Astyanax mexicanus: one gene and its partners. The protein of the gene in region 2 interacts with the protein of the main gene of each other region in a pairwise test. Links are inferred from orthologs where the notes say so. Each region holds a gene or a part of one and is shown on either strand. Other genes may lie near its edges. The genes, in order: ncdn, efhc2 and plod3.

The links.
Region 1: the proteins of efhc2 (region 2) and ncdn interact in binary tests that used the Homo sapiens proteins (3 or more experiments, as listed by UniProt). The two-hybrid records come from large-scale screens. The link is inferred for Astyanax mexicanus from reciprocal best matches to the Homo sapiens genes EFHC2 and NCDN.
Region 3: the proteins of efhc2 (region 2) and plod3 interact in binary tests that used the Homo sapiens proteins (3 or more experiments, as listed by UniProt). The link is inferred for Astyanax mexicanus from reciprocal best matches to the Homo sapiens genes EFHC2 and PLOD3.

What each region holds. Positions count from the first base shown.
Region 1 is NC_064410.1:53,436,360-53,444,778, forward strand, and holds the start of ncdn (neurochondrin), read left to right. Parts: upstream 1-5,178; 5' UTR 5,179-5,307; intron 5,308-5,313; exon of another isoform or gene 5,314-5,375; intron 5,376-6,395; 5' UTR 6,396-6,416; coding exon 6,417-6,629; intron 6,630-7,205; coding exon 7,206-8,405; intron 8,406-8,419. Other genes in the region: zgc:114119 (mediator of RNA polymerase II transcription subunit 30-like), read right to left, coding at 343-438, 1,141-1,230, 2,024-2,182, 3,084-3,350. UniProt on the Homo sapiens protein: Probably involved in signal transduction in the nervous system, via increasing cell surface localization of GRM5/mGluR5 and positively regulating its signaling. Required for the spatial learning process.
Region 2 is NC_064418.1:5,481,226-5,489,652, reverse strand, and holds the start of efhc2 (EF-hand domain-containing family member C2), read right to left. Parts: upstream 3,254-8,427; 5' UTR 3,141-3,253; coding exon 3,099-3,140; intron 2,054-3,098; exon of another isoform or gene 1,846-2,053; intron 1,684-1,845; coding exon 1,498-1,683; intron 1,410-1,497; coding exon 1,259-1,409; intron 1,166-1,258; coding exon 942-1,165; intron 841-941; coding exon 589-840; intron 1-588. Other genes in the region: fundc1 (FUN14 domain-containing protein 1), read right to left, coding at 4,922-4,999, 5,640-5,768, 5,866-5,941, 6,634-6,790. UniProt on the Homo sapiens protein: Microtubule inner protein (MIP) part of the dynein-decorated doublet microtubules (DMTs) in cilia axoneme, which is required for motile cilia beating.
Region 3 is NC_064420.1:26,582,648-26,591,018, forward strand, and holds the start of plod3 (multifunctional procollagen lysine hydroxylase and glycosyltransferase LH3), read right to left. Parts: upstream 3,202-8,371; 5' UTR 3,048-3,201; coding exon 2,981-3,047; intron 2,257-2,980; coding exon 2,165-2,256; intron 1,409-2,164; coding exon 1,272-1,408; intron 1-1,271. Other genes in the region: asgrl2 (C-type lectin domain family 10 member A), read left to right, coding at 5,170-5,260, 6,954-7,070, 7,187-7,291. UniProt on the Homo sapiens protein: Multifunctional enzyme that catalyzes a series of essential post-translational modifications on Lys residues in procollagen. Plays a redundant role in catalyzing the formation of hydroxylysine residues in -Xaa-Lys-Gly- sequences in collagens.

The DNA of each region.
Region 1 (8,419 bases), on a different chromosome or scaffold from region 2:
ATCAGTCCATGTTCTTGGCACTGAATTCGCATTGCTGTTACACGTCCCTGCTAATACAAAACTACACTAGCTCAGTGCTGGAAGGCAAGAGTTATATTATCACAGCCAAGAATAAATGGAGCGAGTTCTCCACCTGAGGCTGAACGAGTCTGTGCTGAGGAATCGAGAGTAAACACCACACAGCATTAACAGTACCAGTCATCTGGAGGAAGTCTGCTGTCCTCAGCTGCCCTGCGAGAGCACCTGACCAAGAGGAAGGAGATTGGACCTCGGAGATTTGTGGGAAAGAAGACTATATCTAAACATACTGGATGGAAGGAAGACAAATGAATGGTGTTCTGGTCATTTGCGCATGGTGAGCATGGCGTTGATGTCCCAAAGAAGGTTCCTCATCTGATCCATCAGCACCTTCATCTCCTGATTCTTCTGCCTCACTTTCTGTGAAGGTCACACAGAAGATATATATATAATCTTAAGTTGAAAAAACGTGATTTAAGGTTTATTTGTGTATTATTACAATATATAAAAGTACATTTTGTAGAGGAAAAGTTGCAAATGTATAAGTTCATTAATAGTAAGGGCAATAAAGATCAAATTATTTATATATTTTTTACAAAGCCAGTGGCATAGCAATGGCAATTTACTAATGGAAACCTTCAACTACTTCTAAAATTTTGAGAATGAGAAAAAGAACATCGGCACAACATAAAATATTTTAGAATTGTAGATAAATTAAAAATTAAAGCATCATTCATAGTCAAGGTCACAAGTATTTAGACTGTTATAATTGTTGTATTTTCCCTCTGTACACCACCCCAAATGAGTTTAAGTGTTTAAAATTCATAGCAGGAGATCAAAACTGTGTTGTAGTGTAGCCTTAGAGTCATGAATAACGAAGCTGAAGCATTACTTTTCAAAACAGAGTTTTCTCTATGTGCCATACATGCTGCATATATTAAATATTAGCCTCAATAAAATATTGAATTTTTTTTTTACTATTAAATTCTTTGATTAAACACTGACTTAAGCAGTTAGCATGTCCTGTGCTGCACACTTTGTCCAGTAGGCTGGCATTACTAACTACACTGTACTCATTCTTTAAAAACATTAATAACTAAAACAATAGTAAGTGGAACAAACCTCTAAAACCTCTTGTCGGTCCTGACTGACTGCAGAACTGCAGGGCTCTACTTTCACTGGAACCACCTCCTCTCCAGCGTACGGCACCAGCTACACATAGACACAGAAACAAAGTTCCATGATATGACAAACATTACTTTCAAAGCAAATGCACCAAACAATGGGTCACACTGAAGAGCTGAGTAACACTGCCATACAATGCCACCTTTGCCACCAGTAAGTTTGTGAAACTTTTGCCCAGCTATAACTGCCCCAACAGTCAGTACATGCTATATTGTTGCTATATTGAGTCCCAAACAGTCCCAAGCAGAAATACCAGCACATGAACTTTACTAAAAGAGCTTCAGAAAATGTGTATGTTTTATGGCCAAGTAGGTGCACATATGCTTAAGGCCAGTATGTGCAATGCCAAGTTTTGAATCTGGGTTAAATTTGTACCAGGAGAAAACAACCTGCCAAACCACACTGTGCCAGCGGTAAAGGTTTGGTGGAATTCAGAGCGTGTGCTCAATCCCTCAGCCCAAGTGAACTGTAAGAATTATGCATTTAAAATTTATTTAAACTAATTTTCAAACCTATTTATATAGCACACAATGAATTTGGTCACGAAAAAACAGCTCTACAAAGATACCAAACAGAATGATGGTGCTCCATCCATTACTTTTGAGATGACCTGGAGAGTTGGAGGTGAGGTGGGACGGAAATCGTATAACTCCTGACCTCACTAACACTCTTTTCAATGAATGCAATCAAAACCTCACAGCAATGCTTTATGTGCTACAACATATGAATACATTTGCTTTATATTTTATTATTTTAGCTATTACTTTATTCATTTACTTTCTAAAACCCATCAGACAATCAACTTGAAAACCAGTCTCACCTCAGTAGGAGACTCCTGAAGGTCAGAGGTCATCTCTACGCAGCGCTCGTAAAGCAGGCGGAGTTTGCGGAAGAGCAGGGTCAGTTGACGCAGGTGCTCTTGCAGTTTGCCAAAGCGGTCCTGATACACTGCCTGACTCTGAGTCACACCATTCGGCAACTACAGCAAACACAGACCAACATCAAGTACTTATAGAGCATACTTACGAAATACAACACAGCTTAAATGTGAACAAGTCCAATACCTCTATTAGGCTATTAAAATTTTTTATTAATATATATTTTTTTTATATTAAACACACATGGCAAATTGATATACTATAAAACGCAATATAATACAAATCTATATTTTTCTCAGATCTTTTTTTTCTTGCTGAATTATAATATAACTTATAGTTCTTAAAATTGTACCTGTAGCCATTTTCCTATGCATACTTTATCCTACTTTCACTCTATTTCTCAGCGGTCAGGACCCCACAGGACCAACATAATGCAGGTATAACTTGGGTTGAAGGTCATTCTCAGCACTGCAGTGACACAGACATGTGGTGGTGGTGTATGAGGTGTTAGTGTGTGTTGTGCTGGTATGTGTGGATCAGACATAGCAGTGCTGCTGGAGTTTTTAAACACCTCACAGTCACTGCTTGACTGAAAATAGTCCACCAACCATAAATATCCAGCCAACCAGGACTAGAGGATGACTAACAGAAACTGTGCTGCAGCAGGTGATGATCTGTCTATCTGGTCCAACGATCCAGCACAACACACACTTACACCATCACCACCATGTCAATCAGTGTCACTGCAATGCTGAGAATAATCAGTAGTGGTCCTGTGAAGTCCTTTTCATTAAAAAAACATATAATGATAAAGCACTTAGTGTAATAAATACAGTGTCTAAAATTACAGACATAGAACATGCTCCTATGTAATCAGCATAGCTGATCTAATGCACAATGAGTGCAGAAACAAGGAGGTGGTTTTAACAAAAAGAAGTTTAATAAAAGAAGTTTATGGCATGAATGTCCTGGTAATTTGTGTTGGAGAAGCTGTTAACACACCTGGGTGGCTCGTGTAATCTGGAAGATCTCCATAGTGCGAGTAACTATGTCCTGAACTGTCTCCTGACCGATCCGACAGAGGAAGACGGGGGATATCTCCCTGAGTCCTCCCTGGTTTGGGCCAATGGGGGGCTGTCCAGGGCCTGAGCCTGGGGTAAGATGAGGGGGCTGCTGCTGCTGCTGCTGCTGCTGCTGCTGCTGTTGTTGTTGAGGGGGCAAAACACCCATTCCTGGGCCGGGACCCTTTTGTGGCAGAGAAGTTGCCATCTGCAAGGAGAGAACAAGACATAGACCTGTCACGATAATTAGAATAACAAACTTTTTTTTAGCAAGAAGAGCAGAACAAATTAAGAAAAGACAGACATATAGACAAGTAGACAGACAGACCTACAGACAGACACTTTATTGATTTTGAAGGAAATTTAGCAGCCAGTAGCAGTTACACAACACAGCACAATAACACAAAACATTGTATTGTTTACAATACACAATACACATCATATTTTCTCTCTCTCTCTCTCTCTCTCTCTCTCTCTCTCTCTCTCTCTCTAACACACACACACACACAATGTATTAGCATTCTAAATAAAACCATTATTTATAATACCATTATTTTACATTTATATTACATTATTATATTACAAAAACTATTAAAATGCTACAGTTATTTAGAAACAGACATCTATATTTAAAATGTGCCACATATCCTAATAAAAAACATTACTAACTGCACTTTCTGTAATTAAATGCAGTTGGTCAGTGTGTTTTTAGCAGCTGACAAAATGATAGATACTCAAATACACTCAGATCTCTGCCTAACAAATTCATTAGAATACGACCCCTACAATAATATCGTTTATTGCAATTAATTTGGGGACAGTATATCGTCCAAAGTTATGCAGTTACAGTGGCAAACCAAGCACGACTGTATAGTGTAGAGTAGCTGAAGACTTAAGGAGAAAAAATAGTTAAATCTATAAACAGAGGCAGTTTAGTAACAGTTACCAGCAGCTGGTTATCTTAGCTAAGCTATGGTTAGGGTCAGTTACTCTCTGGTAAAGAGGGTGAGAACTAGCTGAATCTACACACTAAATGAATGAAAGCTATAAAAAATACTCCACATTATTCTCTGTATAAAACCTCAGAGTCTCTCCAGAACACAGACCTTCACTCACTCTGAACTCCTGCCGGTAAATCAGCGGATTACTCTGATAAACTGAAGCAGCTCCTTCTTCTCTCCGTTCAAACAGCAGCAGCTCCAGCCGCTGATCTCCGTCACTTCCTGCTTCCTGTTCCTTTCTCTCTCCAGTTCCTCGAGAAGGGTAATGCTGCAGACCGGAGCCCCAGTGGGCGTGGCTAAAGGGCGGAGCATGTGTCAATCATTTTCGACTGCAGCCAATCAGATACTACACTTTCGTTCTCAATCACTTTTTATTAATCCAATCCTGAGACAGACCAAGCTGTCCATCATTTTTTTACTGCAGCCAATCACCTTAACAGATCTGTCAAAAGAAGGCGGAAACTGCGGTGCTACCGGTTAAACGTAGCACGATTTAAATTTCTGTACAGCGGTGAAGCTGAATGTGTATAAGTATTTTACAAAATACTACATTAACAGTTTGAACACACACTATTGTAGTTAGTCCTGCCTATATGCCGCTCTTAAACAGAAGTAACTGAATGAAAACGTTAAAAAAGCCCTGACTTATATTTTTAAATCAAAGATTAAAATACTCGTTTTTATGGAATGCGTTTGGCTAATACATTTAACAATTGTTAAAAAACAAATACATAAATAATTAAAAAAAAAAAAAATAATAATAATAATAATAATAATAATAATAATAATAATAATAATAATAATAATAATAATAATAATACGTGAAAAGAAATAATAAATTGTGGCTATTAAATTTAAGAATTAGTTTATATAATAATAATAATAATAATAATAATAATAATAATAATAATAATAATAATAATAATAATAATAATGGCTATTAAATGTAAGAATTGGTTAAATAATAAGAAGATAAAACACATATTATATATTTTTAAGGAAAATATTTAATTTTGTTCGGTTTAATTCAAAACAAATCATTTCAGTGCATCCGTTGAAAATGTATCAGAAACGAGGACAAATTTAGCTTAAGATTTATTTTGAAATTTAAGTGACTTTTAATATGTATTTTGGCGGAAGTCGGTGTTCGGTCGCATGGATAACGTAAGTGATTTGACACGTTCTCCTCGTGTTTTGATGGTTTGATGTTTTGGAATTTCTCGGTCCGGCAGGTTCTAATCTTCTCTTTTACTCATTTAATCAGTTATCTCGGTACAGCGGCGCTGTTTACTGATACGCGCTGTGAGCAGGAAGATCGAGTGAGAGCGCAGTTTAACTAGCTGATCTTATTTAGCTAACCTGGATTAGCTGGGTTACTTCACTTGGTAAAGTGGTTATGTCAGGAAGTTAATGTGGAGAAAGTGTAAATGAATGGTCTTGGTTTAGTAACTAGGTTTAGTACTAATTGGTGGTATAAGGAGGGCCCTCTGTGCTTTCTGTTTGTGTGCATATTCAACAGTATCTCCAGTATTTCTGCTTCCATATGTTTAATTGTTTGCTTCTCGTGTCTAGGCAAATAACTAACGTTAGTAGGTTTTAATGTGGTCGTGAGTTTATTTTACCAATATACAGTACCTGTAAAAGGTTTGGACACACCTCTTTTTATTCAATGTGTTTCCTCTCTTTTCATGTTTTTTGTTTACATTGTTGCTACAATTTGCATTATAGACGTGAAATCTACACAAGTGTAAGTGTTAAACAAACCAGAAATCTATACTATAGATTTTTCTAAGTAGCACATTTATCTTTTAGGAGAGATCTGCGCACACTTGGTATTTTAATCTCAGTGTCTTCATGAGGGAGAGTCACCTGGAATAGTTTTCTCAGCGTCTTGAAGGAGTTTCTGGAGATGATGAACAATATTTGCTGCTTTCCTTTACATTTTTTTTTACAATTTACTACGTCCCTGAATTGTTTTCATGTCTTTAATATTAATCTAAAATGTAGAAAATGCATTAAATTAAAAAAAAAAAAAACTTTAATCGAGAAGGTGTGTCCAAATTTTTGACCGGTCCTGTCTTTGTCAGCCTAGAAACATCATAGTTTTCCCATATTTTCCTATTGTACATGGCATGTCTTAATTTTTGGAGCCAAAAATGTGAGAATTCTAGATTTGCCTAGGCTATCGCCTTTCTGCTTTCTGTAGTGTCCCAATATATGGTCTCACTCATCACATCCTGATATATTTACAGGTATGTTGACCAACACTAAGGATGTCTGAAAGTGAAAGTCCCATCAGCCAGGAGGAGGTATCCTCCCAACATCATTCAAATAGTGAGGAGCAATGCAAAGCAGATGGTTCTTCTACTGCTCCTGAACCTGAAACTAAAGGCCTGTCTGCAGCTCAGCAGGATGTGCTGGAGCGCTGTCTGCACGCGCTCACTCACGCCAAAAACGACAGCCACATCTTGGCAGCTCTTCTTCTGGTAAAGTCATTCTGTCAGCTGTGTAGTGTGAACAAAAATGTTATTTTAAAAGATCTGCTCTGAGACAGTGTTTACATTTTATTACTAATTTTAGTCTGTGCATTAAGTCTGTGCATTAACAATGAACTATGAACATCATTTTGTGCTAAGTTTTAGTTAATCAATGCTCTGCTAACTTATGATGTCATTATTAGTACTGGCTTGGGTACTGTCTATTAACAATTTATTAATTAACGTATCTCATATATTTTCTTGGTAAAAACCTGTATTGTCAGTATTAGTTAGTTTCCTGTTAGTTCTATTTCCCAACATGACAATTATCAACTTTGAAGCATCTGATAAAGTCTTACCTTTCTTAAGGCCTATTACAGTATATAACTGGACGTTTATGAATAGGCAATTTTTTTAAAGTAATGTAAAGTGAGTATTATATGATTCTCTAACAAGCCACTCATTAATAACTTTATTATTAACAATAAATCATAGTTAACTCTTAAAGAAATGTCTTGTGTCCCCTTAGGAATTTTTATTGTTTTTAATCCATGTAATTGTAATTTAAATACATCTTCTCTTTAGATTACTCGATTGTGTCCAGCCAATCAGCTTGACAGGGAGACCCTGCATCGTGTCTTCGAAGCAGTGGGTTTTAACCTCCCTGCACGCCTCCTGGTGACTGCCATCCGGGGGAGTGAGGGCTCTGGACTTCCCCCTGAGGAGCTCCTCTCTCTGGGCACTGCCTTGTTGGCTGCTCTCAGCACAGACCTGGACATGGCCACCCATCCTCAGCTGCTGAGCACCATCCCTCTCCTCCTGGGCCTGCTGGAAAATGGAATAGCAGACAGTCAGAAGCAAACACAGCATAATTCTGCATCTCAAACCAATAATTCTGAGGAATCATGTCCAAATGGAAACTCTACATCATGTGACACAGACACAGAGCACAACACAGGAGAGGATGTTCCAGAAAGTTCCTTAGGTGAAGGTGTAGATGGGGTCCAGCCCCCTGCTTCTAAACTGGATGAGGCATTGGCAGCTGACTGCTACCAGGTTCTGAGCACAGTATGCTCTCTCCCACGTGGCCCTGATCAGCTGCTGTCTCGTGGTGCTGTACCTGCTCTGTGCAGGGCTGTGTTGAAAAAACAGACTCTCAGCCATGAGAAAGGTCTTCCACTTTTGGCTCACCTTCTGTCCAGCAATATTAGGGAGCGGGTGTGGAGCAAACACCAATCAGAACTTCTTTCTCTTCTTGCTACCATCTCCCAGAACTTCAGCCAAGCTCCAAACCAGGATCGCCTGGACTTGTGCTCTTCTGTACCACAGTTCCTCCCTCCTCCAACAGCAGAGCCTCTGACCAAGGAGCTCCAAGATTCAGTGTCCAGTCTGTGGGCATCATTACGTCCACTGGTCCAAGGTAAACTCAGCATAGATCATCTGGGGCCAGTTCTGGTGCTGTCTGCTTGTTTGCTGGACTTGTGTGGCTGGGAGCCGACTGGATCCCCAAAGTTCTGCTGTCTGTTGGTAAATCGGGCATGTGTGGAAGTGAGGATGCTTCTGGAGGAGCCACCAGGTACTCAGCTTTCTGCTCAGCAGCAGAACACACTCACTGCCTGTTACCGCATCATGGAGGCAGCCATGGAGCAAGCATGCACTCAGGGGTCTAATCCCAGTCCTGCCCAGCCGGAGACAGCCATTGCTGGGCTGAGTCTGCAGCAGAGCAGGCAGGTCCTTGGAGTTCTGGAGGAGGCTTTCTCTGCTGTTATTTACTACCTGCAGCAGGTGAGAGAAAAATG
Region 2 (8,427 bases):
ATTTGACATGCTATCACTCTACTCCTGCAGCAATATCTCCACAAATATTTGAGCTGCAAGGAATGGATTATCGACGGACACCATTAGGAACCTCTACATGTTGCGTTACACATGCCTTACACATGCATTACACAGCACTTTTGTATGATTAGCTCAAAAGCTCAATATTGTCCATATTAGTCTAAATGTGTAATAATTTATTGTTCCTAGTAACCTTTAAGAGTGTATATGATGAAAAACTAAAAAAAAAAAAACTAAACAAGTTTGTTTTTATAATGGATTAAAACTGAAAAGCTACTAGGAAAGAGAGCAAGAAGAGTGCTTTAGTGGGAAAATAGAAGTCAGGCGCTCTTTCAGCCTCGTCACTCCAGATAAATCTGTGGCATAGGTGATGGAGAAGCTTATTCAAGCAGAAGAAATGAAAGAAGGCTTTTCAGCATTTCATGGTGGCAAGAGAATCCTTTTCTTGTGCTCCAGGAAGAACAGATATTAATATATATCCTATACCTTTCAATGTGTATAATCATTTTGACACTATAAAAATCAATATTTACTGTAGCAGAACAAGAATCACAGCTTTATACACACCTTAGGAATTTTACTCCTGTTCAAAAATTTAGGGGCGGTGTCCCGCCCACTGTTTGGATACAGAACCTCTCGGATTTCTATGGTATCATCAGCCAAAAAGTAATGCAGGATCAGCTCTCTGGGGTCACCAAACATGCTCTCGGTATCATTCCAGTAGCAGTAAAATCGCAGGACATTATGATCGTGCTCCAGGAACTGCTTTAAAGTATCTTGCCTCTCATATGGGCGCCGTGGCTTCATGCTGTCCTCCAGCTGCGTAGGTAAAACACAGGGTTTAGAAGGCTATGCGCTAGTGCGCGATTATGATTTATGCTGGGATCTGTTTTACAGACACAAGCCACTCACTGGCTTACCTCCTGACGAAGTGTTGTGTAAGGATCTGCTGGTGCTGTAGCAGAGGAATTAATGCGTACCCCCATCTTCCTCAGAAAGTTACGTGTGAAAGGGTCACAGTCTGTAATCATGTAGGTTCTGGAGTAGAACTCAATCTCCTGGTTGATATTAAAGTGCTGTATATTGTAAAACTGGTCATCATTAGGAGCCGGGAGAGGAATGCGATGGCGGCAAATCAATGTTCCTAGAAAGAGATAAAAAACAAAGAGAGTGTCATACCTTATTAATTTGTCATGTTAGACATGTTATGCTACTTAGGAGATCTTGAAAGCTTTACCGTGTTGCATGCCACTGTTTTTTATTATTGGCTCCACAACCTGTATGGTGTCGTTTTCCAAGTAGTAGTAAATTTTGCACTTTCTGACTCTGTATGTTTCCTCTCTGCTCTGAGTAATAGGTTCTTGGAAATATGCATCAAAGCAAAGCACCTGCAATAGAAATAACAAATGCCAGTGTCCGCACAGTACATTTAGCTTGCTTGGTAATAAAAATTTGAGTTTTTCTTTTATCACAAACCTGCTTGTCGAAGGCTAACCATGAAGGACCACTGCCTTGTTCTTTTGGAAACAATGAGTACTGAGGTTTTGCCGTCTGGCCGAGCAGCGGTTCTCCTCCAATGCCAGGCTTTTTTGCGCCCACCATTAATGGTATTCCTTTTGAGTATTCAAAATGTTGAGACTTGTGAAACTTTTCTTTTCCCAGCTATAAAATAAAAAAGAACAGGTTAGGCTCTTGGGTCTGTCTGAAGAGTTATGTAATATGTAATATTCATATTTATGCAAAAATTCTGCTAATACGTATATATTTGTGTGAAATCTGTAATTCCATTACTTTTGGAGAACAGTTATCTTCTAACTTACTTACTTCACAGTAGTATGAGGTTACGGTGGCCGAGAAAGCCCAACGCAGTGCAAATTGAAAAGCGCTGCAAAAGCACAAAACACATCCATCAAAATTACAACACAGGCGCAGCAACTAGAAAAACGCGCTGCAACTAGAAAAACGCGCTGCAACTAGAAAAACGCGCTGCAACTAGAAAAACGCGCTGCAAATAGGACCACAACACAACGGAAGTGAGTCACAACACAACGGAATTTTCCCGGGGGACCTTAAAAGATGCTGTACCAGCTAAGCTGCGTCTTCAGTAACGTCTCGGACTTCACTGTGTGTACAAAGGACAATAAGTGGCAAACAAGGCGTTTTGTGAAGCAGAACTTTTAATAATATGCACACAACCGTGGTAATCACAGGTAATAAACATAACTTACTTTTCAGAAGCTTGTTTGCCACTTATTGTCCATTGTATACAGCTGGTACAGCATCTTTTAAGGTCCCCCGGGAAAATTCCGTTGTGTTGTGACTCACTTCCGTTGTGTTGTGGTTCTATTTGCAGCGCGTTTTTCTATTTGCAGCGCGTTTTTCTATTTGCTGCGCCTGTGTTGCAATTTTGATGGATGTGTTTTGTGCTTTTGCAGCGCTTTTCAATTTGCACTGCGCTGGGCTTTCTCGGCCAGGTGCTTACAGTACTCTAAGGAAACTAAAAGACAGGGCTAAATAGACAAAAAAAAAAAAAAAGTTTTCACAAAAAAAAGTCTCACATGGCATTCATTCATACTAGAGACCACAACTAGACTGTTTAAAATGAATTAAAAAGGGATGGAACGAGACCTTTAAGGTGGTTCCAAACTTTAGACTGGTAAGTTACTGTAGCTATGAGAAAGCCTTTAAGTGTCATTTTGAACGTTTGTATTTTTATTATATTTTAAAATTGGAGTGGAACTGCTTTTTAAAAAGTGGAAAGCCAATAGTAATTTGAATTTAAACAAGAAAATAGTCAGAGAAGTATAGATTTTAGCAACTTAGCTAGTTAATGTTACATCCCACAGCCGTTGAGATAACTAAAGCTAGCTAATGCTAACTTTAATTGTTCAGAAATCATTCCAAACAGTAAACTTCAAATTAGCTAGCTAGCTAGCTAGCTATTTAACGTTAACTTGTTAGTTAACGTTAACTAGCTTAACTAACTACTAACTAACTAATTAACAGACTGAATAAACAAGAATTAACTCTAGCTAATAAAGCTAGTTAAATACATAATTACAGTAATATTTTCTTACGTTTCTGTTGAGGGAATTCCCGGGGAGCAGAGGTAAAGGCATGTTTATACACTAAATAGATAGAAAATACTAATAAAACTAATAAAAGTCCTGAACAGTCCCTCATCCAGCGGCTGAGACCCGCGAGCTCCGGCTCACTGTTTGAAGCTTGAGTTGCTAGGCAACAGCAGGTCACGTGAGGAGCGGATCCGTCTTCCTGAAGTGTCACATACTAAACCAGTGGCTCTTAAAAACATAAAATATCGTCGAAAAGTTACTTTGTTTCAGTAATTCAGTTCAAAATGTGAAATCCATATATTATATAGATGTATTACACACAGAGTGATCTATTTTAAGCGTTTATTAATTTTATTGTTATGACTATGATCAATGTCTCAGAAAATTAGAATATTATATAGGACCAGTTGATACTTTTGACAGTGTGGACAGTGTGCCAAGTCCTGCTGGAAAATGAAATTCGCATCTCCATAAAAGTTGTCGGTAGCAGAGGGAAGCAGGAAGTGCTGTAATATTTTCTGGGAAAACAAAACTGCACTGACTTCAGACTTGATATAACACAGTGGATCAAAGCCAGCAGATGACATGTCTCTCCAAACCACCTCAAGCAGATGGAACTGTGTGTCTCTCTGCTCTTCCTCCAGACTCTGGTCCTTGATTTCCAAATAAAATGCAAAATTTACTGATGATCAGTAACAGTATGGTGACTTTAATATTTGAACATGTTCTATTCACATCAATAGGCTACTTCTAGTAAGGTGAACATAATAGCCAATATTGAGGCCAATAAAAATAGAGGTTATGATCATATATTGTACAATAAAATAATTATTGTGACAAGCTTAGTAATTAGACGTTGCAGTATTAGAGGCTGTCAATTCTTACACACTTGTAGAAGAAGAGGGTTAAAGTAACCCTTTTGCAAATCTATCCCCAGATCTCTCATTCAAGGCAAGTTCACATTTGCTGAGAAAATGAAGTTATAAAATGTAGCTGTTTCTCTGTAGACCACAGATACTTCCCACACTTCTGCTGAAAACAGTCCAGATTGTGCTGCTCATACTGAACTCAACAGCAAGTCGTTATCTTTGTTATGACTGCATGACTGCATTAACATTCCATAAATGTCTAAGGGTCCCTCACACTATTGACGGGTTCTGTCGTTTTCTTTGGAAACTTTAAATAAGAAAACTTGTGAATCCAACACGAGATGGATAAATAATGCCTCTTTTATTAGGAGATCATCTTTTATGTTAACATATATAAGTTTCAAGTGTCCAGTAAAGTAGTTGGCACAGTACAGTACATAAATAAAACACATCAAACATAATTAAAACTACAAGAAACCATCTGTGTAACAACAAATGAAAAAGGCATACAAATAAAATAAAATTAAGCACTGTGAAAAAGGCAAATTATAACTGAAAACATAATTACTATACACAGCTTAATACAGAACTATTTTTTTAACATATGCTCACGTAACTAATAAAGTACAGGCATTAAGTTTTCCAGCTAACAACAACACTGACCAATATATATAAAATAAACATGTTGTAGCATTCCAGTAATGAACTTAAAGTAGTGTTAATAATATACTTCATGATATATTTAAATTTCTTTCCTCATTGTACAGACAGAGAGAGAGAGAGACCCAGGTCCAGGCACTGCCACAACCCTCTAGTGCAAACTTTGTCTTAAAACCATCTGTTTTTTTTTTTTTTTTTTTAGTGTTGTGCCCCTGTGATACAGCAATTGAACATAAACACTGAGGACAATGCCTCAGGATTGGCAGAGTTCATTTATGCAGCAGACTCATCCAGAATTTAGGATGCCAGACCCAGCAGAAATCCTCCAACGAATCCACTTGAAACAACAATGTTTCTCTTGACAAATTCTGTGGACTGTAAAGAAAGTCAAGATTTCAGAAAAACAAACATATTGTACAAAATTATAAAGCAGTTAGTGTTTTTAGACATGGCTTATTTCTATTTCAAATACAAGCTTTTAAAATGTAAAAACAAAAAAAAACTAAAATATTATCTGCAGCTTTTTATTATTATCTGAGCATCCACAATACATAAATGCATTTTAACAACACTGCATCAATATTAAACCACATATAAGATAAGCTACTCTATGTGTTTGTAGGTTTGTAGACACATGCTGATCAAGTGTTCAGTCTAAAAAATAAAGGTTATTCATTGAGAGTTAATAGGCTACAGCCTATTCCGGGAAGGCTTGGGAACCTTTCTGTAAGAATTTGATTTCATCCATCCAAAATAATATTAGTGAGGACAGATAATGATGATGTTATATGATTATTTCCAGATTACAAACACTGCTCCAAGTCATCCCAAAGGTCTATTACAGTACTCAATCACATCACAGTCCAATCACTCCACACACTTTTCTAATATTAGGCTCATATGTGGCTGTTCCAACAAAATCTGGAAGCTTTTTTTTTTTATACAGATGTCTGCAAACTTTTGGACCTACACCAACTGTACACCTGGATCCTACATAAAACAGTGGAAAATGTACCTCGTCGATAAAGGAATTTAACTCAGGAGCAGCTTTGTTGGCCTTTTTCTTCAGGTGCTTTTTCGCTTTATTAACATCTTTCTTTACTTTCTTCCAGTCGACCTCCACATAGCCGCTGTGATTGGCAATCTAAAAAAAAGGATTCACAATAAGATTCTGATGCAAACAAAGACAAATATTTCTATAATTAGCTCTGCATTGTTTAAAAATGTGCCATTGTCTTTACTTGCAACAATAAGAATCCTCCACCAACTGCAGTTGCAGCAATTTTCCCAACCTTCTGAAAGAGATATCCAGCACACCTAAAACAGACACAAAAACATACACAGACTTAAGAGATGTTATTTTAGCAATTTGACTGTTACAATAATTACATTCCACCGTTACTGTACAATATATGAACATAATCTTAATAATTTCTGCACATTATGTTTTATCTAGTGGGGTCTGCCCATTTACATGCATGAGACAGTGTGTTGCTCTTGGCTTTTTCTTTCATTTATTTAGGAAATTATTATTTTTTTAGATTTTAATTTCAATGTTAGTATATTTCTTAATAATTAAAAGTGTAATTGCTATAGTATGCTAATATATTAACATCATATGAGTGGCATAATAGTTGGCAATTTCCTAGACAGACATTAAGTTTAGTTTTGGACTTAGTATTCCTTCTAGGCTTAATCAAAGTTCAGGAAAACTATCCCAATTATTTCTGGGACAATTTATCCAAAAACAAAAATATATCATGTAAAGTTTAACTTGCAGTTATGCTCATACACTCAATTAATTTTTGTGTACATACAGTATATTAAACTGTGACAGGACAATGTATCTGCTGCTTAAGGACTTCTTCACAAGAAGGCAAACCAAAAAGAGAGACAGTCTCTTCTATTGTTCTATTTAAAGCATGCCTGCAGAAAACCACAATATAAATCAAATGATTTGAGGTTGTATCTGAAACTACACAAACTTCCATCCAGCTATCTATACTCACCAGCCTGTCATGCCCCCCATCATGAGCTGCGTCGCCACAGAGTACTTTTCAGCAATAGGTCCTGTATTGCTCCCAAAGACTCGACTCCACCACTGATGCCGTCTGGCATAGTCTGTGATATCCACCACCTCGTACAATTCATCCTCACTCTCTGCCTCTATTTATGGATGAAACAGGACAGTTTTAGAAAGACTTTGAATAACATAGGGGAGAATAAACAATGCAAGATAACATTTTACATGATCCAATTCAATATGTGCAAAATGGAGAAAAAACTGATTTAAATCAAGCACTCAAAAACATTAAGTAAAGAAGAAATAGAAAAAAATTCAACAAAAAAATTCAAACAAAACGACACTGTTGGGTAAAATATGTGTACCACTATTTTCCTTATGCATAAATAAACAGCTATTTTAACTGGACCACGCTAGAGACTGACCTTCTGATGTTTTTGAAGTGAACCTTGTTTTGAAAATATTATACAGAAATAGGAACGACTTCTAGGAACAAAAATCTATTTTAGGTTATTTTGGAAATACAGGTCCAGAAATTCGGTGTGAAGCGAACTTGGAGTGTAGTTAAACATGATACAGAGTACAAACTTTTCTTATCCATGCAAAGAAACCACTATTTTTACACCATAAACAAGCTCAAAGTTGCTCCATACTTCATTGGTAGAATTCTGAGGGTCCTGACATTTAAAATGAGACACTGAAAGCTTTAAAAGTGCACAGGCAGTTTATTAAAAACACTATTTATAGACACAGTACTATGAGGTAGGTCTCCAGTTCTCACAGGGTTTCTCCTTTAAATGTTATCAATATATTATTTTTTACCATAGCATGTGATTACATACACAAAGAGACGTGGTTATGTCAATAATCAATTTTATCGTACTTTTTTTTTATATTTCCCATTTCTCCTAATTTTTCCACCCTTTTAGCTGCTACTCGGCTGTATATCCCCCATCACTAGTGATGCCACAACAGGAGGGTGAGCAAGGCCAATTTTACTCTCTCAGGGCTCTGGCAGCTGATGACAAGCTGCATGACAGGGATTCAAACAAGCGATCTCCCAATAATAGTGGCAGCACTTTAGACTGATGGAACACTCTGTGCCTTGTATTGACCGAAATTAAAAAATATATTTTAAAATAAATTGGGCATATAATCCAGACCAACTCACAGTCAGTGTTTAAGATGAAAGCATATTGTTTTATTAGAATTTGCATTGAGAAAATGGTTAAAAATAAAATATTCGAAATAACATTTAAAAAAGAAAATACATGCACAGAAATAAGGACAAGTTTCTTTTGTGGGATTTTTTGTGAATTCAGGCCCGGACAGTTAAGAGTGACAGTAAAGACAAGCACTAACTTTTTTCACAACGAGCAAATAAAGAACTACACATTTTCTGATTTTCTGATTATGAACATTTAAGCAAAAATAAGCACAGTTACAAATTTAAGCTAGGTTAACTGTGAACTGTCTGCAGGTCATGCTGAATGCTGACCAGGTGATAATAACAGACGCAGGTTAGCGTGTGTTCTTACACTCCTACCGCTGCTTTTAAAACTAAAAAATAATTAAAATTAAGCTCATAAAGAGGCCATGTCCTGACTGAGATCTTCCACTGCAGTTTTAGGCAGCTGTGTTGCTGTTTATCACGTAACGCCGGGTGTTCTGTCGAGTTATGCTACCCATCGATAGGTGTTACCTAAAGGCACTGCGCATGCGCTACTTTACATCTTTTGATGGTTTCTCATGTTTTTTTTTAATAATAAATCTGTCTTTT
Region 3 (8,371 bases), on a different chromosome or scaffold from region 2:
GAAATCAGAACTCTAATCTATTACACTCTGGCAGTCAAATTCTGGCATGGAGGCAAGATTTGGCACAACATACAGATAGACACCTTGCTGAATTGACAACATTCTACAAAACAATTAAAATCAAGTATAGGAAGATGAAGCCCACGCAGCTGATGACAAAACATTGTAGCAAAGTTCTTAAGTCCACTCACTAAACTGCAGTGTAAAACCAAAACTAAAACCAAACATATCCAGTGTACCAAAAATGTGAACCTGCAGACTCTGCTCTTGATTTGTAGGTGTGAAAAAACTCTAAAAAGCACTGCAAGAGAAAGCTGAGGCTTTTTTTTTTTTTCAAAAAGTAAAGTAAAAAGCTAAAAAAATGCCCACACCCACCCCATTCTTAGAGAGGTCTGATAAGATCATTTCTGCTTTGTTTAGTATGGAAACCAAGCTGAATAATTCCAACACCCAAGTGTGTATTACACAAAAAGATTCAATGTAACAAAATATGTCCCAGAGTCTGTAACATTTTCGCCATCAATGTAATGTAACCTTCATCCCCATCACAATTAGAGATGAAGATGTTTTTTTTGGGTTGATACCAAATGCCCCCTTTCAGCTGAATCATCCGATTCCTAAAACCATTCAAGGGTGGGGCTGGAATCAACCACATTTAAAACACTGTGGAACTCTCGAGCACCAGTGGCAACAATCTGTGAATTCCCTGACTATTTATCCAGCACTTTAAACAACTGTTTGGACAAGGTTCTTCAGCTTTACAACTGTTATGTTAAACTTTTGTTGTTGTCAAAATATTATATGTACTGCATGATGTTTTGTGCTAATAATGCTCACTGGACTGAGTTATGCACTCTTGAGAGGGCCTTCCAGTTAACAGTGTTAAAAGTTTTTAGTCTGCTTCCCCCATGAGACCCTCTGGCATTACACCTTCTACAAATACATGACTAAGACAGAAACAGCAAAAACAAAAAAACAAACGCAAGATTGACAAAGTGGAGCTACAGTGGAGCTACTAATTAACTACTGTTTATAAAAGTTCTACAGACCTTCTTTAATAAACATTTCTTTATGTTTTTGTTAACTACAAAACATTTAATTAAAGAGTAGTTTATTCTCAGTTTGTTTCCTGACATGTTCACTAGTATTTTGACTGTTAACAATTAGATGATTTCCGTAACCTTTTTACAGTAGGGTGTAAAGATTGGGGAACCCCTGGTCAAAATACCAGATAAACACCAAAATACCCCACTTATACACACAACACTCACCTGTCAACGAAAAGGATGATGGTGTTTTGTTTGTCTTTGTGTTTCTGCATCTCTTTCTTCAGCCACCGAACCTTCTGTCCTCCACCCACAGTTTTAGCAACATCACCTCCTCTCCACTCCTCCCCCAGTCCCAGAACCTGGACACACACACACACACACTGTTTACACAGCCCCCTCCTCACTCCTCCCCCAATTCCAATAAATACAGTTCTGTGCAAAAATACTCAACCCCCTTAAAAGTCTTCAGATTCGTCTGAATCATGACTTACTCTAAGGAGTTCCAGACAGTGTTTTTTTTTTACAGAATCTTGTTATCTTAAACTCTTAATTCATTATTCATCAGCACTTTCCTAAAAACTAAGACTAAAACAGTTTGTGTGCAATAGTACCCCTTAAGGGCTTGGAAGAAGCACCTCTTGCTACAATGGCAGCAGTAATGCTCCCACCCCCATGTTTCACAACTGGGATGGTATTTGCTGAGGAATGTTAGTTTAGGGTAGTGTTAGGTGAGTGTTAGTGTGCTCTTCCTTGAGGCATCTTGTTAAAACTAGATAGAAAGACAGATAGATGAAGGATGGAACTGAACCAGTTACTTTCTAGTCCCAAGCCCACTTCTCTAAACTTGTGTGTGTGTGTGTGTGTGTGTGCGTGTGTGTGAGAGAGTGTGTAATATAAAGTCATTCTGATTTTGTAATGCACAAACTGGTTCTCAGCTGTTTTCAAGACTGGAAGTGAAAGTTAATGACTCAGAAAGAACGGATGGATGGATGGATGGGTCATCTAGCTGAGTCTAGCACAAAACTTGTATGTGTATAAACTGGTGGAGCTTTTGGTGCAGGGGTTGAATACTTTTGCACAGCAGAGCGACGATGAATGTATTGATGGTGGGGAACCTTCACAGTGTAGTTGAATTCTCTGGCTGTTCGCATAAACCGGTGAAAGCCATCCGTCTCTTCTGTAGCGGCAGTTATCACCAGCAACTCATCTGGAAGGGTGAAAGTGTGTGAGCATGAGAGAGAGAGAGAGTTAGTGAGGGTCTCTGATTCAGTAGTAAGGGCTGAAGTATTCAATTGAAATGGAAAAATAAACAGAACCCAGGGTCTAGGTAGGACTGCAAACCCCCACTCTTTACACACTCCCACACTGTAAAGAAAACAAAGGGGTTCTTATATGGTTCCATATATAGAACCAGGAGAACTTAAGGAACCATTTGGGTCCTAAACTTGTTCTTTGCCTAATGAAAAGTGTTTCACTGTTGGGAATAAACCCTTATTGCTTGATGGTCTGTGCTCACACAGATTGATTTGGTTTAACTTAGTGTAAAATTAGATTCAGTGCCTTATTAAACAAATTAAAGTCTCTAATATGAAACAAGTACACATACACAAGCTCTATTACATTTTCTAACTATAATCAGTATCAAAAACTAAGTTTATTTGCCAGCTTTTCGCACATTTAACTCTTTTTTTCTCGAACTTTCCATTCCACCTTAAATGGTGCAGCAGTTAGCCTCAGGCGGCAGATTCTAACCGCTGCACAATTTAAGGTGGAACGGACAACTGAAAAACTTACTTCATTAAAAGTTAGAAATAAACAGATAATTCGAGTGTCAGTAAGACCACCATTGCCCACCAGTACCACACACCCTTACCACCGCCCTATACCCCAGTATAAACCCAGTATGTTAGTTTAGTTCGCTGGTTGTTTACCTGTTTCCCCCGCGCCCCTCGGCACCAGCGCGCACACCACGGACAGCCACAGCGGCACGAGCCACATCCTGACCTCCACACCCAAAAGCCTACAGCCCCGAAACTACCGTCACCAGCCCGCAGAGACACACACCGAGCACACCGGCACAGGCGCGCGCGCGACTCCGCTGCTCCGCTTAAAGCTCCGCGAATATCTGCGGGAGAGGAATGCAGCCTGCAACACTCCCCACTTCCGCCTCCTCAGCCAATCACAGAGCGGGACCCGCAAACCGGGAGACCGAGGGATTCATCCCGACCAACCAGCGGCGGACAAATGGGATTCGTAGCTTTTCGGAGTAAAAACCCCGCCCCTTCCAGAGCCGAGGAATGTTCCGGAATACAGCGGTGCCACGTTTCAGCAGACTCACGTTCCGCTGATGCGTTACTGTGTTACAGTCTGACTGTGTTACTGTACTATCAGTGATAGTACAGTAACACAGTCAGACTGTAACACAGTGATAGTCTATCACTGAGTTACATTCTGACTGTGTTACTCTACTATCACTGTGTTCCTGTACTGTTACAGTCTGACTGTGTTCCTGTAATATTACTGTGATATAGTCTGACTCTATTACTGTACTTTCACTGTGTTATAGTTTGACTGTGTTACTGTACTATTACTGTGTTTCAGTCCGACTGTTACTGTACTATTGCTGTGTTACAGTCTGATTGTGTTACTGTACTATTGCTGTGTTCCTGTATTGTTACAGTCTGACTGTGTTACTTTAAACTTACAGTGTTACAGTGTCTGACTGTGTTCCTGTAATATTACTGTTACAGTTTTACTGTGTTACTGTACTATTACTGTGTTACAACCTGGCTGTGTTCCTGTACTATCACTGTGTTACTGTAGTATTACTGACTGTTCCATTAACACATCACAGTGCAGTAACATAATACTGTACTGACTGTTAAAGAATTTTTTGCATAGTCTGACTATGTTACTGTATTATTACTGCACAGTCTGCTTTTCTATATTTTTACTCCAGTTTGAGTGTTTTACTGTATTATTTATGTTAGGCTGACTGTGTTACTATACTTTACAGTATTATCACTGTGCAGTCTGTGCAATATTACCACATACATTTCAACTTTTAGTATAATATTACAAATTGTTACTTTTAGTGCACCAATGATGTTATTAAAATACTGTACTATTACACAATTTGGATGTATATTGTAATAATGTACTGTACTGTACTACTGCACAGTCTAATTGACCTGCTGTATTCTGTTTTACTGTAATATAGTATAACTGCACAGTCTATTTATTTTACAGGATTATTACACAATCTAATGATGTTATTGTATGTTAAATATTGTTATTGTGTTACAGTATCACTGTAGAGTCTGGCTGTGTTTAATAGATTGATATATATTCTGATTGTTACTGTATTACTACACAGTCTGACTGTGTATCTGGATCATTACACAGTCTGACTGTCTTACTGTATAACTACATAGTCTGACAGTGTTAATATATTACTGTGCATTATTAAAAAATAATCTCACAAGGCTCCACACTTTGCTGGCAATTTTTCCACAGCATAATTTTTAGTTTAGCAGATGCAGTTAAATACTCCTGACAGTAGGGGATGCTAAAGCACTTCTTGCTGGTCATTATGAGAAAGGTATGGAGGCCTGGGTACCTGAATCAATACCCTCTCTCTCTCTCTTTGGTTCTGTACTCTGCTCAGGTTCATCTGTTTGTTTGACTGAGTAAATATGGTCAACAACACACACACACACACAGAGCTCAAAGTACAGATACCAGTGTACCCACCACAAGGTACACACACTACCCTGTGATCTGTTCTACTGGAGTGGTAAGTTATGTGTTCTAAATTATACCAGTATTTGGATAAAACGTTGTTTTCCCACTATTGCTGTCTGAATGTCCAGTCTCTGACCGTGTTCTGTTTGCGTCCGATCTCAGAAGGTGTTCTGGTGTTCTCTTTGGGTCCAATCAAAGGAGGACCCAGACCAGATCTTTACAGAAAATCACAGATTCAGTCCGGTTTCATGACTTTGTGTGACGATCCAAGACACAACATGTTAGATTCACAGTGTGATCAAATGAAAAAAATCAGTGATTGAAGCTGCTACTGTCCTAAATATGTATATAACTCTGTGTGTGTTTAGATTGCATCATGAGGGACGCTACGGAAGCCAGCAGTTCCAACAGCAACGAATACCATGACGAGTTCGACAACACAGACACCAAAGCCATCTGGAATAAAAGTGTGTATGTGTGTGCAATGTTGATTGTGTTGGTGTTGATATGTGTAGTGTTGGTATTGATAGTGTTGGTGCTGTTGGTGTTGATGATATGTGCAGTGTTGGTATTGATAGGGTTGGTGCTGTTGGTGTTGATGATATGTGCAGTGTTGGTATTGATAGGGTTGGTGCTGTTGGTGTTGATGATATGTGCAGTGTTGGTATTGATGTGGGTTGGTAGTATTGGTGTTGATATGTGCGGTGTTGGTGTCAATGGACTAGTGTTGATATGTGCAGTGTTGGTATTGATTGGGTTGATAGTATTGGTGTGATATGTGCGGTGTTGGTGTTGATGGGGTTAGTGTTGATATGTGCAGTGTTGGTATTGATGGGGTTGGTGCTGTTGGTGTTGATGATATGTGCAGTATTGGTATTGATAGGGTTGGTGCTGTTGATGTTAGTGTTTCTGCTGGTTATGTGTGCAGTGTTTATAGTGGTGGTTGTGCGTGCAGTGTTGACAGTGGTGGTGTTGCTGGTGGAGTTGATGGTTGTTGAGTTTTGATATATGTGTTGATGGTGTTTGCAGTGTTGGAGGTGATAATGACAATGTAGGTTAGTGTTAGTGTTGGCGCTGGTGCTGATGATGTTGGGTGTTAGTATTGATGGTGTTTGCAGTGTTATGGTGGTGTTGGAGTGTGCAGTGTTGATAATGTTTGTGTTGGTGATGCTGATGACAGTGTTGGTGGTGTTGCTGTTAATGATGTTGGGTGTTTGTGTTGGTGGTGTTGCTGTTAATGATGTTGGGTGTTGTGTGTGCAGTGTTGATAGTCTTGTGTGTGCAGTGTTAGTGGTGTTTGTGTTGGTGGTGCTGATGACAGTGTTGGTGGTGTTGCTGTTAATGATGCTGGGTGTTGTGTGTGCAGTGTTATTAATCTTGTGTGTGGGGTGCCGAGTGGTCCAGTGGTCTAAGGCGCTGCCACTATGAGCAGGAGGTCGCAGGTTCGAACCCCCGCTCATGCAGCTTTGCCATGGTGCTCTCTCCCCACATCACTCCTAGGGTAATGTCTGCAGCACAGGGCGTCTGTGAGCTGATGTACCGGAGCCGAGCCGCTGTGCTTTCCTCCAAGCGCGCTGCAATGCTGCATCAGCAGCAGCTCGAAAAGGAGCGGTGGCTGACTTCACATGTATCGGAGGAAGCATGTGTTAGTCTTCACCCTCCTGGTGTGTTGTGGCATTACTAGTGATAGGGGGAGTCCTAATGAGTGGGTTGGGTAATTGGCCGTGTAAATTTGGGAGAAAAATGGGAAAAATTAGAAATAAAATTATATTATTAATCTTGTGTGTGCAGTGTTAATGGTGTTTGTGTTGGTGGTGCTGATGATAATGTGTGTGCAGTTGATAGTTTTGGTAGTGTTGGTGTTGGTGGCATCTGCAGTGTTGATGGTGTTTGTGGTGGTGGTGCTGGTGATAGAGTTGTGTGTTCAGTGTTTAGTTGTGATGATAGTGTTGTGTATGCAGTGTTGGTGTTTTGGTTGGTGGTCTGCAGTGTTGATATGACAGTGTTGTTTTGTCATTGGCAGGGATGATAGTGTTTGTTTTATTTCTGGTGTTAATACTGTTAAGGAAGATTATTGTGAATCATATCTATTTTCTGTACTGTATCTATGTGTTTATTTGTTTATCTGTGTGTGTTTGTGTGTGTGTGTGTGTTTGACAGACACTGTCTCCAGGTTCACTGCAGTTCCCCCTGCTGGTCAGTTTCGATGGTATTTGTGTTTGTTTGGTGTTTCAGTCTTTATTTCTTTGAGCCTTATCATCGCCATCTCTGTGACCAGTGAGTAGCACACACACACACACACACACACACACACACACACACACACACTCTCTCTTTCTCTTTCTTTCTCACACTTCTGTCTGTTGTGTATGTGTGTGTTTATGTATTTGTAGAAGTAAATCTGGACGGGAAGTTGTCAGCTGTTGAAAAAGAAATCAGCAACTTGACCCAAACTTTGATGTCAATCACTGCCAGAATGAATCGCCTAGACCAGCATGGTAAGCACACACACACACACACACACACACACAAACACACACACACACACACATACACACACACACACACACACACACACACACACACACACACACACACACACACACACACACACACACACACAAACACAAATACAGTGACCTCAAAAAGCAAGATGAAGATAAAATGATCTCCAAAAGACTCCACAAGTTAAAGATGGCACATTACCATTGTATTTTAAGCAAAACTCTTTTTTACCTGTACATTTTCCAAATAACAAAAAAGGAAAAGTCCCAGAAGCAAACAATTTGGATAACTTCTATGATACTTATTAGCACCCCTTGTAAAAGTTGTTCATGATACCCAAATTAGGGGATTGTGAGGGACAAAACCTCTAGATCAGGGGTGTCAAACTCATTTTCACAGAAGGCCACATTGGCATAATGTGGCTTTGTAATCAAATGTAATCAAATGTAGTATAAAATGATTGTAACTACTTTTTAATGATAAATAACTCAGAATGTATTACTTATTTAACAAAAACATTACAGTTGCATGGAAAAAAATATGTTTGCTTGTTGCTCTGTTATAACATAAATCCTTTTAATTTGTCATGTTATGAAATCCACAAACTCCATCAATCAAGGATCAAACTATTCAAGTTAATAGAAATTAATAATTGACACACTGAAAAGAGGCTTAATTAGTATGAAATCAAAAATTGTGACAGCTGTAGCATTTCACAGATTTTTTACTGCAACAGCCTTGCATCTAAGCTGTAACTGTGGGTAATGCAATCGACATGCATTGTGGGAAATGTAATTTTTAAAGACTAAGATCTTTCAAGCTCTCGCGGGCCACATAAAAGGACAAAACATATGCTCTATATTGTGCCTTTTGAGGTAGTCTATTGTGTAGTCATCCTCTTTTTAACCTCTTTATTGATCCTCCGGCATGCTTAACAGTTGGAGAGGTGTTCTTTTAATGAAATTCTTCACTTCCTTTACTTTAAATATACACTTGTGGACAAATAGTTCTATTTCAAACTCATTGGTCCACAGGGCTTGTTTCCTAAATGCATCACGCTTGTTTCTTTTGCA